Linked DNA regions of Arabidopsis thaliana. The protein of the gene in region 2 interacts with the protein of the main gene of each other region in a pairwise test. Each region holds a gene or a part of one and is shown on either strand. Other genes may lie near its edges.

What was found.
Region 1: the proteins of ARC6 (region 2) and FTSZ2-1 interact in a two-hybrid assay, tested with the Arabidopsis thaliana proteins (3 studies listed by BioGRID, with this or other methods).

Annotation. Positions count from the first base shown.
Region 1 is NC_003071.7:15,195,044-15,204,127, forward strand, and holds FTSZ2-1 (Tubulin/FtsZ family protein), read right to left. Parts: upstream 5,561-9,084; 5' UTR 5,426-5,560; exon of another isoform or gene 4,974-5,425; 5' UTR 4,890-4,973; coding exon 4,257-4,889; intron 4,092-4,256; coding exon 3,792-4,091; intron 3,707-3,791; coding exon 3,616-3,706; intron 3,315-3,615; coding exon 3,190-3,314; intron 2,988-3,189; coding exon 2,895-2,987; intron 2,813-2,894; coding exon 2,618-2,812; 3' UTR 2,326-2,617; downstream 1-2,325. Other genes in the region: APG10 (Aldolase-type TIM barrel family protein), read right to left, coding at 1-206, 305-466; AT2G36240 (pentatricopeptide (PPR) repeat-containing protein), read left to right, coding at 620-2,113; AT2G36255 (Defensin-like (DEFL) family protein), read right to left, coding at 6,359-6,537, 6,625-6,685; AT2G36260 (Iron-sulfur cluster biosynthesis family protein), read left to right, coding at 7,743-7,884, 8,195-8,312, 8,388-8,457. UniProt on the Arabidopsis thaliana protein: Exhibits GTPase activity which converts GTP ligands to GDP.
Region 2 is NC_003076.8:16,983,096-16,994,354, reverse strand, and holds ARC6 (Chaperone DnaJ-domain superfamily protein), read right to left. Parts: upstream 9,260-11,259; 5' UTR 9,061-9,259; coding exon 8,554-9,060; intron 8,472-8,553; coding exon 8,247-8,471; intron 8,160-8,246; coding exon 7,899-8,159; intron 7,816-7,898; coding exon 6,828-7,815; intron 6,539-6,827; coding exon 6,405-6,538; coding exon of another isoform or gene 6,393-6,404; exon of another isoform or gene 6,314-6,392; coding exon 6,023-6,313; 3' UTR 5,747-6,022; downstream 1-5,746. Other genes in the region: AT5G42490 (ATP binding microtubule motor family protein), read left to right, coding at 1,733-1,907, 1,991-2,080, 2,163-2,263, 2,346-2,459, 2,538-2,619, 2,693-2,760, 2,845-2,907, 3,006-4,949 and 2 more; AT5G42470 (BRCA1-A complex subunit BRE-like protein), read right to left, coding at 9,617-9,683, 9,765-9,862, 9,956-10,021, 10,168-10,221, 10,304-10,393, 10,457-10,505, 10,594-10,724, 10,812-10,913 and 1 more. UniProt on the Arabidopsis thaliana protein: Component of the plastid division machinery consisting in a binary fission accomplished by the simultaneous constriction of the FtsZ ring on the stromal side of the inner envelope membrane, and the ARC5 ring on the cytosolic side of the outer envelope membrane.

The DNA.
Region 1 (9,084 bases), on a different chromosome or scaffold from region 2:
GGATAAGCATGTAATGCTCCAATAGCTGCAGCTTGGCTTAAAGGGTCTGCTCCAAGCATTATCACATGACCACCCGTAAGCCCATCTTCTTTGTACATCTTTGCATACTCTTCCGCAGACTTATCCGATTCAAAATTCGTAACGAGAACTGAACCATCCTCTTTCAAGTCACGAAGTGTGGATCCAACTATCTGTTTCACTTTTCCCTATCGAAAATCACATCACACAGAGATAGATCCATAAATGAATTCACTGCACTCAACAGCCAGTGAGGATTTTCTAATCGGTGAAATTGATTTCATACCTTATGAATATCGATGCACGGACGGAATTGAACAGCAGATATGAGCTGAACCCTCGATGGTTTAGAGACTCTGAGATGCTTGATGAACAGAGAGCTCTGATTCTTCTTCTGGAACCAAGTGAGACCACCATTGGAGTATAATTGGGAGCTCAAAGTTCTCATCTTTGGAACTGAAACTGTAATCAGTAAGCACCAGTGACGTATCTGGTTCTAGATATTCTAGGGTTTAGATATCGGTTTATTCCGGTTTGGTTTAAAATTGGAAATCGATAAAAATGCCCAACATTTATCGATTCGTTTGACAAACAGAGAGTGATGCGATGGAACAAGAAGAACGTTATCAGTCTCGTCTCAAAGTCTCATCATCTTCCGGCGCCGATTACGCCACCGTTACCTGAGATTTACCGAATACCTAATCCTCCACCAAAGCTTCCGGAGATCTCAATTCCTCCGACACTTACGCTCTCTCCATCTCCCAAACACTCCAATTTCGTCAATTTCCTCGAGAACAATCTCCCTCACCATCAAACACTAACGCCACAAACTCTTCTTGGATTCCTCCGTTCCAAGATCCGTAACCATCCGCTCTACGCTCATTATGACTTCGCCGTCTTTAATTGGGCAGCTACACTCGACACTTTCCGTCATGATCACGATTCTTTCCTCTGGATGTCGAGATCACTCGCCGCCACGCACCGGTTTGACGATCTTTATCGTCTTCTCTCTTTTGTAGCTGCGAATCCATGTCCTTGTTCCTCAGGTATATTCTCTTGTCCAGAGCTTGAACCTATTTTCCGATCCGCCATTGATGCGTATTGTAGAGCTAGGAAAATGGATTATGCTTTGTTAGCGTTTGATACTATGAAGAGATTGATCGATGGTAAACCAAATGTTGGAGTTTATAACACTGTTGTGAATGGATATGTGAAATCTGGAGATATGGATAAGGCTTTAAGGTTTTACCAGAGGATGGGAAAGGAAAGAGCAAAGCCAGATGTATGCACGTTTAACATTCTCATCAATGGTTATTGTAGAAGCTCTAAGTTTGATTTGGCATTGGATTTGTTCAGGGAGATGAAGGAGAAAGGTTGTGAACCGAATGTGGTTAGCTTCAACACTCTTATTAGAGGGTTTTTGAGCAGTGGTAAAATCGAGGAAGGTGTTAAAATGGCTTATGAGATGATTGAGCTAGGTTGTAGATTCTCAGAAGCTACTTGTGAGATTCTTGTTGATGGGTTGTGTAGAGAAGGTCGGGTTGACGATGCTTGTGGATTGGTGCTCGATCTTTTGAACAAGAGGGTTTTACCTAGTGAGTTTGATTATGGTAGTTTGGTTGAGAAACTCTGCGGAGAAAACAAGGCGGTTAGAGCAATGGAGATGATGGAGGAGCTGTGGAAGAAAGGCCAAACCCCATGTTTCATTGCTTGTACTACACTCGTCGAAGGGTTGAGGAAATCAGGAAGAACAGAGAAAGCGTCAGGGTTTATGGAGAAGATGATGAATGCAGGAATTCTTCCCGATAGTGTGACATTTAACTTGCTTCTTCGGGATCTCTGCAGTTCTGATCATTCTACTGATGCAAACAGATTGAGACTTTTGGCATCAAGCAAAGGATATGAACCCGATGAGACAACGTACCATGTTTTGGTTTCGGGGTTCACGAAAGAAGGGAGAAGAAAGGAAGGAGAAGTTCTAGTGAACGAGATGTTGGATAAAGATATGTTGCCTGATATCTTTACATATAATAGATTGATGGATGGCTTGTCCTGCACTGGAAAATTCTCAAGGAAACAAGTCCGGATGTTGTAACCTGTGTTTGATCTGTGTAAACTAGACCCAAGCTATATCTATGTATCAACAAATTTTATTTTGAACATATGAAATGGAAACCAAGTTGGTTCTTTGTTTGGTTGCTGCACATTGCCACAGAATCATGCGTCGGAGATGAACTTTTTTTATTCGAAAGTCACAGTTGTTTGCTGGTATATCGCTATTGATTTTTTTATTAACTGAATGAAAAATGACAATAATTTCTGCTAAAACTCTCATAATCTTATAAGTATGTTTATGGTTCGAGAAGTGTGATTCTTCTTCTCCTTTTTTGTTTTGGAAGTGACATAGAGAGAAACTCCGATTTCTAAAACAACCTATTCAAGAACACGACCAGAGGCAGTGACAGAACATATACACACCCACACAGATTCTTGATCATACATCAACACATCTTGCTGTATCCCAGAAGGCAGTACCAGACTACCAGTACACACACGTTTGTTATTGCTGCAGTGTGCAGGGTAGTGATTAGATTGGGCTTTAGACTCGGGGATAACGAGAGCTGCCTTTCTTCTTCAAGAACTCTGGGATCTCCACTGAACCGCTTTCTCTAAAGGAAGAAGAGGGTCTTCTTGTAGCTCCAACTGACGCAGCATCTGCTTGTACCATCTGAACTGTTCGTCCTTCTCCCTCTTCTTGTCGTTTGAAACCCGTAGCTATCAGGGTTATGCTTACCTTTTACCAAAAAAAACATCAATTCTATCATCTCTAGAGGTCTTATCTATGTTTAGTAGAAGAAACATTATAAAGGACATACTTGACCGCTGAGGGCTGGATCTACAACAGCACCGAATATAAGATTGGCAGTTGGATCGACAAGATCATATATTACTTCTGCAGCAGCATTTACCTACACAAGACCAAAGTGTATGAAAAACTATAGAGCATCTTAGGGGTATGAAGCAAAATCAGGCTTTGCTCTAAGTTGTCTATGGAAGGAAGAAAATAAATGATTTTAACACCCTGTCAATGCGTCTCTCAAGATCCAGTTATTGTTTATGGATCTATCGACATAGAGATAAGAAACAAAGATGAGAGAGAGAGACAAAAACCTCAAACAATGTCAAGTCACTTCCGCCAGTAATGTTCCAAACAATTCCAGTGGCTCTCTCAATCCCAATATCTAACAAAGGAGATTGGATTGCATTTAGCGCAGCATCTCTTGCCCGACTCTTTCCTGAATGATTACAAGTAGCATGAAAGAATCAGCACGTTGCAAACAAAACAAAACCTTGCGCAAAAGAAGTTCAAGGTTCATGACTTTGATTATTACATCATGACATAGATGCACAATAGTTGAGTAACAGTGAATATAATATGGTCATTTTCAGTATCCCAGTCACTAGACTGGTTTCTTTGCCACACCAATCTACTAGCTCATTAGTTCAATTAGACTATTTCGACACATATCTAGTGACTAATGGTTCTGCTTATGAAACTATGCAGCTAAATGAGCTTATCCATCATTCCAAACTTACCTGTCGCAGTTCCTATTCCCATCAATGAAGACCCCGCATTTGCCATTATAGCTCTCACATCAGCAAAATCCACATTCACCAAACCAGGAATCTACAAATCAAGGACAAACGTAGCTGGTAAATCATTTGCCATACACAAAAAAATGATCACAGGATGCCCATAAGAAAAGCTATACCGTAATGATATCAGATATCCCACGAACCCCCTGACGGAGTATATCATCAGCTAGATTAAATGCTTCTGTTACCGGAGTAGACTGAGAGACAGCTGTAAGCAACTTGTCATTTGGAATGACGATGAGAGTGTCAACATTGTCTCTGAGAGATGCAAGCCCTTCTTGAGCCTGAACAGTTCTTCTTCGACCCTCAAACGAGAAAGGCGTAGTGGCAATACCAACTGTCAATATACCCATCGCCTTGGCAATTCCTGCAATTACAGGGGCTGCACCAGTGCCAGTTCCACCGCCCATTCCAGCCTATAAAATGATGAAGAGACATATAAACCTCACTCTTTTGGACAGATGGAGACCAGAACTAGCTGATAAGTGATTGACAAATGACACATACCTCTTTTTCTACAATCAAAGTTTATAACTAAGAAGAACAAATGCAATAGTAATAATAAAGATTTGAGGACATACTGTGACAAAGACCATATCTGAGCCATAAAGAGCTTCTTCAATAACTTCTTTGCTCTCTCTAGCAGCATTCATACCGATTTCTGGATTTCCTCCAGCACCTAAACCCCTAGTCAACTCCTTACCAATTTGTAACCTATTATCAGGCAAAACAGGAGACATTCTCATAGCCTGGATATCAGTGTTGACAATCCAGAACTCCACACCTGACATTTCACTCTCTATCATACGATTCACAGCATTTGATCCACCACCTCCCACACCAATAACCTTAATCCTCGCCTCATTGTAGTTACTCGGAGCAGATGGCTCTTCAAAATCCTCGACAACAGGTCCAGAAGACGTTTCCTTTCTTGGATTGACTATTGTACTAGTCCCTTCACCTCTAAGCATAGATATTTCCGGGTGAAGGTTCAAGAAAGGATCTTGAGCTTGGCTTTGGTAATGCCGTGGAGAGTTTCTGATTGGAGAAGATTCAGATTTCTGAGCGGCAACAACAACTCGGTTTTTCTTACTGTCAATCGTTCTAATGGAGTTCAACCTGCCTAAATGATTCTCCGGTAAAACATTCTTTCTAAGAACAGTTAGTAACCGAGAATCCGAAGGAGTAAAACACGGTGAAACGTAAGTTGCCATAATGAGACCAATCACTGCAGGACTTTACAAAATTCAGAACCAAAAGACTAAATCCAATTCCACTGATTACTTCCCTAACAAGACCTGTTCATAAAAAGCTAAATGGTCAAACCCAAAGCTCTCAATTTAGAGTTATATGATTCAGCCACAAAGTAAAACACGAAATCCACAAAGTAGCCACAAAGCAGTGTGATTTACATTCATAAAGTTAACATAAACAAAACCCAGTCGCATCTATGCTCCATTGTTAACCAGCAATAGATATCAAATCCTCAGAAATTGAGAATCAGTGGATGGTTTAAGACTTAGAAGAATGAAACAAGTGAGGAACCACAAAACCCAAATTAAACTAAAATGCTTTTTCCCATTACGAATTGAAGAAATTGAAGATGGGTATTGCGAAGTTTGCAGCATTACATGAAAACAAAGTAGAGAAATGGAAGAACACTGAGAAAAGCTTAGATTTTTGGGTAAATACAGTAAGATGGAGGACGAAATCAAAAGGATAAAGCTGGAGGGAAGTGGAGAAGAGAAACCTGAGAGTAGCAGAGGAAACCTGGAAGAAGAGTTGGGAGAGAAAAAGTGTGAATTGAACAAGGAGCTCAAGGTCTGGAGGAAACCCACGAAACGGAGGGTTTTGGTGTTTTCTGACTAGTAAATATCTCAAATTCATTAAACCCCCAATAATTAAAAAATATATAAAAAATGCTTTTGTTCATAAAATTTTTATTTTTATTTTGGTAAAATTTTGTTCCAATTTATCACTGTTATGTTGGTGTTGGTAAGAAAAAAAACTATGGGAAATGATTGTACTTTAAATTTCATTTCATGTACTTTCATTGAATTTTTTGTGTAAATTTGCTAAATGAATTTTATGAAGGAAACAAAAAAAATTACAAGAAAAATGTGGTGGCTACATTACATAGTTGGAACAATAATGTCATCATTTGAATTAACTAAAAACAAAAAGCAACTCTAGTCGTTACGGCAAAAGAGTTTCGAGGTTGTGATATTCCTTTATGTTTCATGGTTTAGGAATATGGTTTTGAACTTTTGATTAGAGTTTTCCTTGTACTTTACTTCTTTTGAGTTTAGGTTAAGAGTTCTATTACTATTAGGAGTTGATTTGGTGTTATAGATAAGACTCATTAGCCTTTGTTCAACAAAAAATAGCACATACATATAGATTAATGACAAGAATGAAGAAAAAGAAGAGGACATATATATAGGAGAGATAATGGAACACCAAAAGCAAACATAATAAACAGATTTAATCTTACATTCATTTATCGCATCAGCTACATTTACGGTGCTGATGCAAATTTATTGAAAGCGATAAAATAAAAACACACAAACATGGAACACACATGTAGATATGTGACATTGATCATAAGCAATGCACACATTATTTAGGTACTGATACACAATTATTCACGTTTCATATTTGGTTTTGCGTCCGGATGAGATACTTAACAAGGTCCGTAGCAGTGACAGTGCGTCTCGTTGTCTTCCACTTCACATGCCCCAAACCAAGTTGTGTTGGTTGCCCTGCAAAGAAGGTCACACAATTTTGAGCCGTCAACTTTAACACACACACCCTCTTGAGCTTCACCTTTAAAGCATGTTTGGGCTACCGCCTTTGGGAGTCCTGTTTTAACCATTCTCACATTAATCTTTTCACATCCATATCGATATTAATATAGGACAAAGGAAGTTAAGAAAATCTTAAAATTACCATTAGAAACCAACAAGATGATCATCAAGAGAGCAGAGAAGTTAACTATGAGCTTTGCCATATTTCTTTGTTGTTGTTTTGTGTTTGCTTCTTCTTCTTTTTTTAATAGAGCAGAGATTGATGAGCTTGTAGCTAACTATTTGAAAGCATAGAATCATTTATAGGGCAAACTCGTTGACTTTTATTTCTTCTATTTGAATCCAAGACATATATAGTTTATTAGTTTTTGTGTAATATGGATTAATGTATATAATGTCGCCATAATTTGAATTGCTAGTTGACAAAACAGAAATGAATTGCACGATCCACCCAATGTCTCGCTAATGATCTCTCTATGTTGCATCCAAATTGTAACAATTTTTTATATAGCAACATATTATAATTTTAATGTCATTATTTTGGCCCAACTAAAATTCAAGGGATGAGGATAAAGTATATAGAACACCAAACCTTGTATCATACGTATGAATACACAGAAATAGTTAAATATAATTATTGAAGTGTTCTTAGTAAAGTGCCTTGACTCAACTTAACATAATGAGCACATATAATGACATTGATATTGTATTGACTCTTTGTTTCATATGATACTATACCAAATAAATTTCTTATTATATAAAATGTTTTCATAACAATTTGACATGTCGCATAATTATAATCTCATGTTTTGCGATTAGCTTTTCCGCCAAAAAATGCTATATAACCAGAGGCTTAGAGTGAGAATAAAACAAGAAACAAATCAAACACAACAATTTTCCGCTTGTAAATGTGATCGTAGCCTTGGAGGACTTATAACTTAGGGTTCATGGGAGAATGTTAGTGGACGAATACGGGAGCGTTGACACGTTTGGTAGTTATTATTATGTTGTGTAATTAAGACTTTTTCTGGAAGCTAGATCGTTTCATCATCCCATATTCAATACAAACTTTATATATTACTAATACTAATTCTTTCGGGCTTTACAGGCCTAAACAGTTCTTAAGACTTGTTCACTAAATTATATATTAAAGTACAATGGCTCTTTAAATATCAACTTGTAACAAATTTGCTTGGACGTCTTCTTCCTCTCTGAAAAATCTTTAGCACAAATTTGAAATCCTCGAATATTTGGTCGGCGATGAGAAAGCAAGTATTAGCATTGAGTGACACGGCGGCTGCGAGGATTCGCCAACTTCTGCAGCATCAGCAAAAACCTTTCCTCCGCCTTGCTGTTGAAGCCAAAGGATGCAATGGCCTATCTTACGTCCTCAATTACGCCCGTAATTTCCATTTTTTCCCACATATATATTTCTTTTTTGTTGATTTTTTCCTCATAAATTATGTTGATATATATTTGATGCTCATGATGAGGAGGGAGTTCATATTGATTAGAGAGATGTATGTAATAATTAAAGGCACATATTCTATCAGGTTCAGAGTCAAGTTTTAGGGTAGGTTTTGTCACCTTCCTAGGAACCTAAGACCTTTTGTTTTGTAGCACTTTTGAGAACTTTTAATAGATGACTTAAATGTGTCCTGACTCCTGAGGCTTCCTATTTGGCGTTGTTCTGCTATGATCTTTGTTTTCAGAGGAGAAAGGGAAGTTTGATGAGGTGGTCGAGGAGAAAGGTGTAAAGATCCTTGTGGATCCAAAGGCGGTGATGCATGTGATTGGGACAGAGATGGATTTCGTGGACGATAAGCTTAGGTTTGTGCCCTTTCACGTGCCAATCTTGACACTCTCTTTATTCATGGTAAACATGTTTGCATTGTATTGGCACAGGTCTGAGTTTGTGTTCGTCAATCCAAACGCGACAAAGTGTGGATGTGGTGAGTCATTCACGACAACATGAAAGGCAAAATTACACATATAACATAATAAGACATATATAACTCTATTACTCTACCACAGTAGTCGATGAAATTTGCTTTGTAAATACAACTATCTTAAGGCTGTCTTCCGTGTAGGTTCGCAATTTGCGACGTTTGCGATGATTTAATGTAATGTGAATAAGTGTGTGTGGAAATGGGTTTCGTTTCTACGTATTACTCTGGATTTCTTACGACTTCAACAAACCAATGAAATTTTGACATCAAAAATAACTCCGACATAAAAATTGGCCAAGTCGGAAACATTTTACGATAAATAAAAACCCCACACTGAAGCCTGGTAAAAAAAAGTGGGTAGAAATGTGAGTGTGGTTGATTACTCTAGCCCGGTTAAAGTCAGCCACTTTAAAACACAAACATCTTCCTCTACAAGATTCTCACACTCTCTCTCTCACTCACACAAAAGAAGAAGAAGAAAAGATTCTGGCAAAAAGATTCATCCTCCATTCCTCCTCCTCTGACGATATCACCGATCAACAGCTCGGAGATTCCACTTCCGACGGCTGCTACGTCATCAAGAAGGTTGAGAGAACTGTGTGCAAGAAGAAACAGGGCTGGCGTGGTAAATCCATCAAGACATGCCAAACATC
Region 2 (11,259 bases):
TTGCATATTGTCTAATGTCTTTCCGAAACAAATTGTTTCACTTTGGTTTTCTTATATTGTGTTCTGTTTTTGTTGTGTCGTTTAAAGTTTAAAAGGTGTAGTTGTTTGAACTTTGAACCTAGGGAATTGGATCAAAAATAAAGTTGGGTTTTAATATTGATTAAACCAATATTGGGTTCACGGTTTTAGTATATGAAACCATTAAAAACAACGCCATAGCTAATCAATTTTTAATACATTTAAATAAAAAACTGTACCAATAATTATTAAGACCAGCTTTGATTCCCATTATTAATTCATATTAAAAAAAATGTGAATGTAAATGCTAAATTTGATGGACCTTCATGAAAAAAAAAATTCTCTCTTTCCACTAATTAATTCTTCTACTATATATTAACAAGTTAGACCATTTTCAATGATTGTCTCTATTTTTTCTTGTAAATACAGAGAAAAAATAGAAATCTCTATTTTTACTCCAATGGTTCCTAAAAATAGAAATCTTTATGTTAGAGATAAAAATAGAGATGAGTTAAAGATGCCCTTAAGATTCTTCTGATCTATTAAAACTTTTGTAGAAGCATGAGACAGCACACGAAAGTGGAACCTTATAGCAAAACGATCCCAAAATAGACCAATTTCGTCTCTTTTTCTCAAACCTCTGCTATTTATCTTGACTAAGAATTAAAATATTTATTAAAATGAAATTGTTTAGGTTTTACAAAATTTGTTAAAACATGGAAGCAAAAACCATACTCAGAATTTCAACCATCGACAGAAGTAACTTCACCTTTTACCAAAAACAAAAAAGACCATCGAGAGAAGCAATTCAGCTCACGAGTCAGATGAAGTGATAATCCCAAGGAAGAGGATAAAAGAGAAGTAACTTGACCAGAAGAGGATAATCCTGGATTTGGAGATAGAGATACATAAATCGACGAGTACAGAGAGTTCTAAAAGAGAAAACTCATATATCCACATACATAATATTGTGAGATCTATATGTTTCTTGTGTGAGAAGTAAACACTCAAAGCCCTAAATCTCAATAACATGTTAATACAACTTAGGATATGCTTGTGAAACAATTTCAAACATAAAAGAAAAACAACGATATAGAGTAATAGAGAGGTAAAATAATGATGTGAATGATTTCCTTTACTTGTATTTTTCGACTTTATGAAGTGTTTGTGTTAATTTTCATATTCACTTACGTTCACCGGTTCATATAATATGTCGCTCATATAATATGTAATATTGTTCCATATTAACAATGAATTTATACGATCTTTTTTATTTGTAAGATAGAACATAAGGGTAGATTCTTGGTAAATGCCACCAATGCTTTCAGTTGTGTGTTTGACAAGGCAACGCATTCATGGTTTTCAAATTTCAATATTTGATTGGATACAATTTTCTCTAATATCTGTATTTTGATCGTTTTGGGCCTTTTGGCCAATAGTGTAAAAAGCTTAGCCAGGTCATAGGTTAGCTGAGGATATATCTGTCTACATTCTTATTTTAGGGTTTAGAGAATATATAGATGTTTGTTTGAGGAAGAAGAAACCCCAATAAAGCCTTAATTATCACCCATTATTAGAATTTGCCTTCTAATTCTATCTTTTTCTTAAATCCATTATTCTTCTCAACCTAAACCTTTTTTCTCTCTCCCTTCATCTTCAAGCAAGGGGTTCCAATTCCGGTAGGAATGTATTGAAGAAAGAGAGGGTATAGAAAATGGCGAGTGGCGGAAAGGGGGAGAAGATATTGGTTTCGGTAAGGGTAAGGCCGCAGAACGAGAAAGAGAAGGCGAGGAATGATATATGTGATTGGGAATGTGTAAACAACACAACAATAGTATGCAATAACAATTTGCCTGAGAGGTCTCTCTTCCCCTCTACCTATACATTTGGTAAGATGTTCAGAAATATTCAAGGCTGATTCAACCATTGTGGAATCATGATGCTAAGATTTTTTTTAAATTTTGTTTTACAGACAAAGTGTTTGGATTTGATTCTCCCACGAAACAAGTCTATGAAGATGGAGCGAAGGAGGTTGCTCTTTGTGTTCTCGGCGGAATCAACTGTAACCAAAAAACAACCTTAAATACTTTGATCTAATTTGTCTTTGTAACAATGAATTTGGTTTGACACATTTGGTTTTGCAGCAAGTATTTTCGCATATGGACAGACAAGCAGTGGGAAGACGTATACAATGTGTGGCATCACTAAATTTGCAATGGATGACATTTTTTGTTACATTCAAAAGGTTTGAACAAAAACCCTGCGGCATTGACATCTCTTTCTTATTTCTTCCTTCATAAGTAACCAAACTTTTTCATTTTCTTCAGCATACGGACCGCAAATTTACCCTCAAATTCTCTGCGATTGAGATCTACAATGAAGCTGTGAGGGATCTCCTAAGTGGGGATAATAATCAACGGAGGCTCCTCGATGATCCAGAGGTACACATCGCGTGTTTTTCGATATTATGCTATCATATTGTGTTAGACCCACTCATTTCCATCCGCTTGCTTCATCAGAGAGGAACCGTCGTTGAGAAACTTATTGAGGAGACCATCCAAGACAGAACACATCTAGAGGAACTTCTTACAGTCTGTGAAAGTGAGTAACATGCCCGGGCTTACAAATATTTCAATTAAGTTGAACGTTAACTAATGTACCAGTGTTGTTGCAGCTCAGAGGAAGATTGGAGAGACCTCCCTGAATGAAGTTAGCTCTAGATCACATCAAATACTCCGGCTGGTACATATTCTCAGTTAATCCATCCTTTTGTTCGTCGATTCTAACTTTTCATCCTCGCTATGCTAAACAATGCATTTCCTGCAGACAATCGAAAGCACTGGTCGAGAATATTCTCCGGATAGCTCAAGCACTCTTGCAGCGTCCGTGGTATTATACAATTACAATGAGTAGTGTTTTTGATTGATTAAGCTTACTACCTTTTTCTTTCTCTGCTGACATGTGTTTTTGGTTCTCTGCCTCTCAAGTGCTTCATTGATCTGGCTGGAAGTGAACGTGCTTCTCAGACTTTATCTGCTGGTACAAGATTGAAAGAAGGTTGTCATATAAACAGGAGTTTACTTACTCTTGGAACGGTCATCCGCAAACTAAGGTTCGATCCATGTGATATAGCTCAATCTCAGGTGGAGAATTTACTTAAATCAACAGCAGAAGAGCGGTCTTCTAGGATGGATGAACAATCCATGTTTAGCTCCATGGATTTTGATGCTGATTTCCGAAGAAGAAGCTATGATTCAACAGATCTTGGAGAACCTAGTATCATCAATAACTTAACCGAGAGGAACTTTGAGTTTTTGGAAAATTCTGAAGAAGATGATTTCCTGCTAGATGATAAGACCCCTCAATTTTCGAGGCATAACCTGTATGATGACTGGGAAGAGTTGGTTCAAATAACCGACGAAAGACTGGAAGATGCATGCAAAGAAGTTAGATGCATTGAACCTGAAGCTGAGCAGAGTAGTGGACAACCAGCAGCATGCGAAAGCCATGACTCATTAGACGACATTGTTGATAAGATAGCTATCTCTGAGGTTCTCTCACCTAGAAAGGAAGAAACTTTACCAGGTCTGGAACACGAACAAAGCTATAACCCTTCTACAGGTATTGAGAAAGCCGAGAATGAAGACATGGAGATTAGCATACCTGCAGCAAAGGAAGAAACTTTACCAGCTCTAGAATACGAACAAAGCTATAACTCTTATACAGGTAATGAGAGAGCCGAGAATGAAGTCATGGAGATTAGCACACCTAGAAAGGACGAACCATTATCAGCTCTGGAATACGAACAAAGCTATAACTCTTCTACAAGTAATGAGAAAGCCGAGAATGAAGATATGGAGATTAGCACACCTGCAGAAAAGGAAAATGTTGACTTATCTTTAAAAACAATAGATGTGAATGCTAAGCCTGAGACCTATGAGCTAACTCTAAAGAACTCGGATTTGGAGATAGGCCCATCAGTTGAAGCTCAAGAATCACAGGAATCTGTGAATGAAGAGGAACAAATGAAGAATGAAGAGAGGAAAATGAGTCCTTCCACAAAGCAAGCTGAGCAATGCTTAAATAAAGAAGAAAATGCTCAGTCAGAACAGCAATCAACGGAAGACTGTGAATTGAATTCACTCCCTATTAATAACCAATCAGAAGCAACAGTCGAAGTGGAGTTAACACCCAACGATGCTAAGTTAGATGAGGATGCGACATCTAGAGATAAGTGGGAGAGCAAACAGCAACAAGAGGCTGATAAAGATTGTAACGAATCATCTGTCTGCAAAAATATTGGGACAGATGATAATGACAACGACACTTACATGGCTTTGAAAGAAAAAGTTAAGGAGATGCAGAAGAAAATTGAATACCTTATGAGCATGCACACAGCAGAACAACAACAATCACCCTCCTTCAGAAGAGATTTCAAGAGTCCTCCAGAATATTTTACTGCCAAAAGAAGCCGAAGTTGCAGAGAAAATCTCTTGAGTGTTAGATCTCCTCATTGGTTTGAGAGTTTGGAAGTTAGTAACAATACATCACCTACCTGGAGGGTTATGCAGACAAAAGCTTCTCCTGGAAGACCCAACACTTCGAGCATTTCCTTTGATTCAGGGAGTTCTACCTCCATTGATACGCGTAGCCTGAAAGACTATGATCCTGAGATGGGCAATAGCTTCCGTGAATTTGTAGCAGGGCTTGAGGAAATGGCAAAGAAGCATCACTCAATTGACTCGACACCGGAGCTAGATTATGGGATTCCATACGCTCCCACAAAAACCGAAAGAATGGAGATCAGACCGGAAAGCCCTGCAGATAGCGTTAGAGGAAACGAGAATGCATTGCCAAATCCTCAGGATATAAATAAAGAAACCACAGATGCCACCAATAATCAGTCACAGAGAGAGCAGGTTGGTGATTCGGTAAGCCAAAAAAAATATTTTCTTGGGGAGACAAAAACTTCTTTCGTTTCTCAACAGTTTGGATGATCACAAAATGCAGGTAGAAGAAGCAAAACCTAAGGAAACAGATTCCACAGAGGCTTCCCAGGAGAAACTACAGGTAGCTGCTAATGGACAATATTCAATCAGTTCTTCAGACTTTGAGAGACAGCAAAGGAAAATAATTGAGCTTTGGGCAGCATGCAATGTACCACTGGTTCACAGAACCTACTTCTTTTTGCTCTTCAAAGGTGATCCTTCAGACTATGTTTATATGGAAGTTGAACTTCGAAGGCTATCTTTTCTGAAGCAGACGATATCTAATGACATGGAAACATCAAGGTATTTTTCTGCAACACCTTTTTAACGAGTCTCATCAATATCAATCATATACTCATAAGTATGCTAACCAATTCCTTTGGTGTCTAATCAGGATGCAAACAGTGAAGGCACTCACACGCGAGAAGGAATGGATTTCCAAACAATTACCAAAGAAGTTTCCATGGAACCAAAGAATAGGGCTTTACCAAAAATGGGGCGTGGAGGTGAACTCAAAGCAGAGAAGCCTGCAAGTGGCGCACAAGCTGTGGACCAACACCCAAGATATGGACCACATAAAAGAAAGTGCTTCTCTTGTGGCTAAGCTGCTTGGATTTGTTGAGCCAAGTCGAATGCCGAAGGAAATGTTTGGCCTCAGCTTGTTACCTAGAACCGAAAACGTAAAATCATCTGGCTGGAGATTTACCAAATCATTCTCTGCTATACGCTTGACCAGATGATAACCAGAGCACAATTATAAAACATAAACAAGACAGAAGTCTCCAAACACTGATAGTTAAGTTGTGAAAGGCTTGAATGTAAGATAAGTCAAGTTCTGCTTGTACCTGATTGCGAAAGAATCCAAAATTGTAGCCCTTATGTTATAGTTTAGATCAAGGAAAAGGGTGTGCCAAGAACGTTAATTTTTTTGTGTTCATTTATAAACACTAACTTAGAGAGAGAATTTACAAAACAAAGAGAATCTCGCAAGCTCAGACATGCTACATATGAGTATATTATGATGCAAGAACAGAGCCTTCAGTGATTTTCCACCCTGACTTGGACCAGAAAACTTCGTATCTTGTTGTGTAGGTTCTGACATCAGTAGCATTGTTTTCTGGATGAACCAAATCAGATAGACAAGCAGACTCCTCCAGAGTTGCTTCCACCAGAGCACGGGTTCCATCTGCTGAGACTGTCACACTGTCAACAGATAGTTTCAACAGTGTATAATCATAAACCAACCCAAGCTGCGCAGTTTCAGCTGCTCTGTCAGTCCAAATCTTCAGCATTCGCCCATCCAAAACCTATAAATAACAGAATCAAACAAGGCACCAGACTATAATCATGTCCAACAGTTTTCACACAATTGATTGAATTGTAGATTTATTCCCTCACCTCTGGTAACATTTCTATGCGGTGATCAGGCCCAAAAGCCAGAGACTTAATCTTCTGCCACTTGGATACTATATTCTCTGCAGTCCTAGCATCCATTCTGGGAAGTGCTTCTGAATCGTCAGCTCTGACTGACCCTAAATCGAAAAGAAAAAAATCAAGGAAAGAAAAGTTGGACAAAGCCACACTAAGGCAATCTCTAATCCTACGTTATTCTAAACAGAAATGTTGAGAGTGAAATTTACATTTCTGTCTACAGTTTGATCAAAAAATTCAAGCAGCATAATTAGTGAAATTTACTCAGCAACTTGTTAATCTTGGTACAACTTTTGGGACATGTATTAAGTGGGAACTATGTTCTTAGCTCACAAAACAAGCATATTTTGAGCAATGCAGATATATGAAAATTGCATCATTTAATCATACCTATGGTAGCGACATCAGATTCCATAGAAGAAACCATATCCTTGCGTTGAAAAGATGAGCTGCTTTTAAGAAAATACTTCTGGCTGAACAGTGAAATCAGTCCAATTGCCACACCAGCAGCTAGGATCTTCACACTTGCCTCCTTTAACATATCAGCAACGGACATTTCAACAGTAGTTTCATCAACGCTACTCTCTGAGACCCCAGCTCGAATTGCATAATCATTAGTTTCAAAGTTTTCAGAGGGTCTTACAGCTTCTGCAATAAAGACACCAGGCTCACCATCACGGCCTACATTGTTACCAACAGGATCTACACTAAACACTGTCTCTTGCACATCCTTGGGTTCAGCCGAGTTTCTATCTGTATAGCGGGAAGGAAAAACTTTCTGCAGTGCCTGCATAGCACTAGCTTTCACATGCTCGGCTCCAATCCTTGCCATAGCTGCAGCAGCAGCTAAAGGAGAACCCTGAACTACCTCCACTCTTTCCAAGTAACTCAAAACCATAGGATCATCATAGTAGTCCCCGAGTTTAAATTTTTTATCTTTGGTGTCTCTGAACCTAGGAAAGACAACCCCTGCCAACCAGGTTTCCAACAATTTGCATAGTCCAGGGAGATCATCATTGTCATCACGATTTGAATTCTCCAAAACAAACTCCACAATAGCTGGATTCCTATATTGTGAATCCTCACTGTCTAAGCCCAACCACATACGGCATTCATCAACTTTGCCTATAAGCAGTGCACAGAGTCCCCTTTCTAGACCGAAGTCTATCTCCCAATTATTCCGTGTATCATACAACATCGCAGGAATCTCCATAGCCATTACCTTAGCCTGCTGAAGTTGCTGGAATTGCTTATCAGCATCCTGTAAAAGGTGTGGCTTCTTACCAATAAAAGCTTGAGCCACAAGAGCAAGTGCAACTTCGTAAACTTCAAATGACTCTGCTGGAATATTGCTTGGGGTAGCTACAAAAAGATCAACCTACCACACAACATACATTAAAATGAGAAACCTAAAGTTATATCATGCTAAAGAAATTAAAAAAAGGTATCTAAACTGTATACCTGCTCAGCAGCTGTCATTCGTAAAAACGCCTCATTCATAAACTTCTCACGGGTCAAACCCCCAACAAGAGCTGATGCTCCACCTCCTCCAACAGACCACAAAATATTCCGCACACCGCTTAAACCATTTAGTCTTTTCGCAGCGTAATCATCACCAAGCGGTAAGCCAAGTAGCTCCAAGACATAACGCGGAGTGATCTCTTCCAAAGTCTCATCAATTTGTGCACGTAAATCCGGTGCAAGGCTACTTGCTCCTTCCTCCTACACAAGACTCAATAACAAAGTATCAAATCAAGAAAGTTCTTATAAAGCCAACGCTCGTCAAATTACCAAAGCAAGTCAAACTACCTGTAAAAGCTTCAAAGCTTCCTCAACAAACTCATAACCAGTTATAAAATCAGGTGGATCCAATGCCATAGCATCCCTCGAGACATCGAGAAACGCAAGCGCCATAACTAAAACCACATCTTGCTTAAACGACTTAGGCAACCTCTCCTTAAGCAGAGCCTCACCAACCCGAAGAACTATCTCAGTCTCACCACCTTCTTGCAATACACAGAGAGCACCAGGAACCTTCACTAGATAAAAGTTCCTTCCTTTATCCAATTCATGAAATTAAAACGAAGAAACTTTATTATTCCGAAATCGAAATTACCTTATCCCAAGGAACATCAGTGATGACTGTAGCTTCTTCATCATCAAGAAGACCTTCATTGTACTCTCTTCTAGACCGAGGATTAGACAGAGTTTCGCAAGCAGCTTGAAGAATCTGTCTCCGGCTGATTAAAGCGTCGTCGCTGAAACCGAATTGCGGCGGTTTCGAAACCCTAGCTTCGAATGCTCTTCTGATTCCATCGGTTAAGAAATGTGTTTGAGCTCCTAATACCTGGTAGAAATCAATGGGGATGGGGACGTGGCGTTCGGGACGATCAATAGATGGTGGCGGAGAGACGAGAGTGGCGGTGGTGGTGGCGGTGGCGAAGGAGGAGGAGGAGGAATCGGAGGTGAAATTGAAGTCGGAGAGAAGACGGTCGGCCCATTTGCTGGCGGAGCAGATAGTTGTAGAGGTGTTGTGGCTACGTCGGAGCTTTGTCGTCGCCGGTGGTAATCGGCATAATTGGAATGGGGAGAGACCAATGCCGACGTGACTCAGAGCTTCCATGGGAGTGTCTTTTTAGGCTACTACAAAAACTTTGTTCTGTTTTACATATTGAAGAGACTGTTTGGTCGTCTAGGGTTTATGGAATTTTGATTTTGAGTAGTATAAGTTAAATCAAAAAACATCACCAGCTACTGAAAAAAATAAAAAACAATCTATGATGTTACAGTCGCCACGGACTTTATGATGTTAAATCGTCTAAATAATCTATTCCACCTAAGAACCGTTGGAGTTGCCTTCATTTTACACATATAGAGCAACAGTAAACCAATGACTTAATTCTTGACTACTTTAAAGTTTAAACCCACAAAACCCCATCAATTCCCTCTCTTTTCTTAACATCCAACTGAAATGTGTAAAATTCGAAACTATTATGACATGTAAATGTAAAAGCAAACAGAGCCAATGAATCCTATAGCCAAGCAAAATCTTGTTGAAATCAAGACAAATTGCTTATAATTGTATTCTCCTTAATGCAGAACAGTAATCCATTTCAGTTTACATAGCAAGAGGAGTGTCACATAAAATTTGGACAATACTAACTTTCGAAATAGATACACTAATGTTGGAGCAGAGCTTCGTTACAATATTTTTTAAAGTTGACAGCCTCGTCGGTCAGGAAGTCACTGCAAAAAAGTAAAATTTTAAATGTTCAGAAGGAGAATTAGTTAAATAAGACATCTAAGAAAGAGTCCATAGAGACTAACCACAGTCGCTCAGCCATGCGTCCCACTTCCCATCTTGGACTCCATGGGTACTCAGTGAGGAGATTCGATTTCACTGGCACACTCGATTGGTTTAAATGCTGCATATAAAAAGCTTGTCAATTTTTATACCTAAATAAATAAAGAGAAAGTCGAAGCCTTCTACTTAGTTCGTTTACAAATAGTTTTGATACCTGACAACTTTGCAGCATCAGAGTTGGTTGCTGCTTCGGAAATTGAGTTGAAAAGAAGAAATGAACCTACAGCAAAGCCAAAAACCCAATAATCCACTGCTACATATTTTTGTGAAATTGAGATTTCTCTAGAAGACAAGTATGAAAATCCACTTTGGCAAAGATTGAATAGAACTTTTTAAACAAGGCTTGAATAGTGATAGAATAATTACCATGAAAGTAAATTGTCCAGAGGCATTAAGGAATGTAGCCTTACGGCAAAAGGTCTAGCAAGAAAAACAAATAAGAAAGTTAAGAAGCTCGGAAATAGTTCTAAATATATGTCAAGGCGTGCGAAGAAATGCTTACAGGATCGGCTTCAAGAGGTCTTCCCAGATTAAGACTTAATGCCTCAATAAAACTCCTCCTTAAATCAATTGCAGCAACAGCTTCATGGATCTAGAAATTAAGGTAAATAAGGCACTCGTACTCAGGAAATTAAGAAGATTTAGTTTAACTGACCTGTCTCTCAAGTGTTTCTTCAAGATGGGGAAGATATTCAGCCAAGCACCTTTGAAATAGAAATGTAAGTATTACTGATTAATACATGTATGGTTTGCAGGTATAGTGAACTGTGTGTACATCTGTAACTAACTTACATCCCGTCCATCCATGGAGAAAGTTTAACATCCTCAACAGAGAATAGCGATTTTAAATCATAATATGATACTAATTTCAAACGAGGTGCTGACGGTGCTGCTTCATATTTCCGAAGAATCGGGTATACTACCTGGATCCGCAACAAGTTTCTCAAGAAGATGCCAGCAATTTTAACAGAGTGAAGAAAAGGATAAAATTATAAGAACGAAGAGAAAACCTGAAGATAAATCTTCTGCTGATGCTTCCAAGGGCAGCCAACCACCATTTTGTTTATGTTCATATCCATCACAAGAGGTACTGCAAACTTGACTTCCTCTGGCTACACTAAAAAATAAAGGCAATGGAAAGTCAAATGCATACAATGCATCTAACTTCAAAGATAAATAATCAAAAATCTTGACAACAATAAATACCTTGTCAACTCCTGAAGCCATTTGCATTTCAATTCCCTGAGAATCAGCAAACAAGAAGAACATAAACATAGAGAACAATAAGAAATTCTAACTAAAATAGTGGTTACAGTTGTTCCGAACCAAAATTACTTATCAAACCGTAGTTAGTGACAAGCCTAACATTAAACAGAATCTATACGCTCGAAGAGGCCTTAGCTACACAAACAAAACTAATCATGATTTCTATCGTAAACAAAGTAACAAGAGTGATAC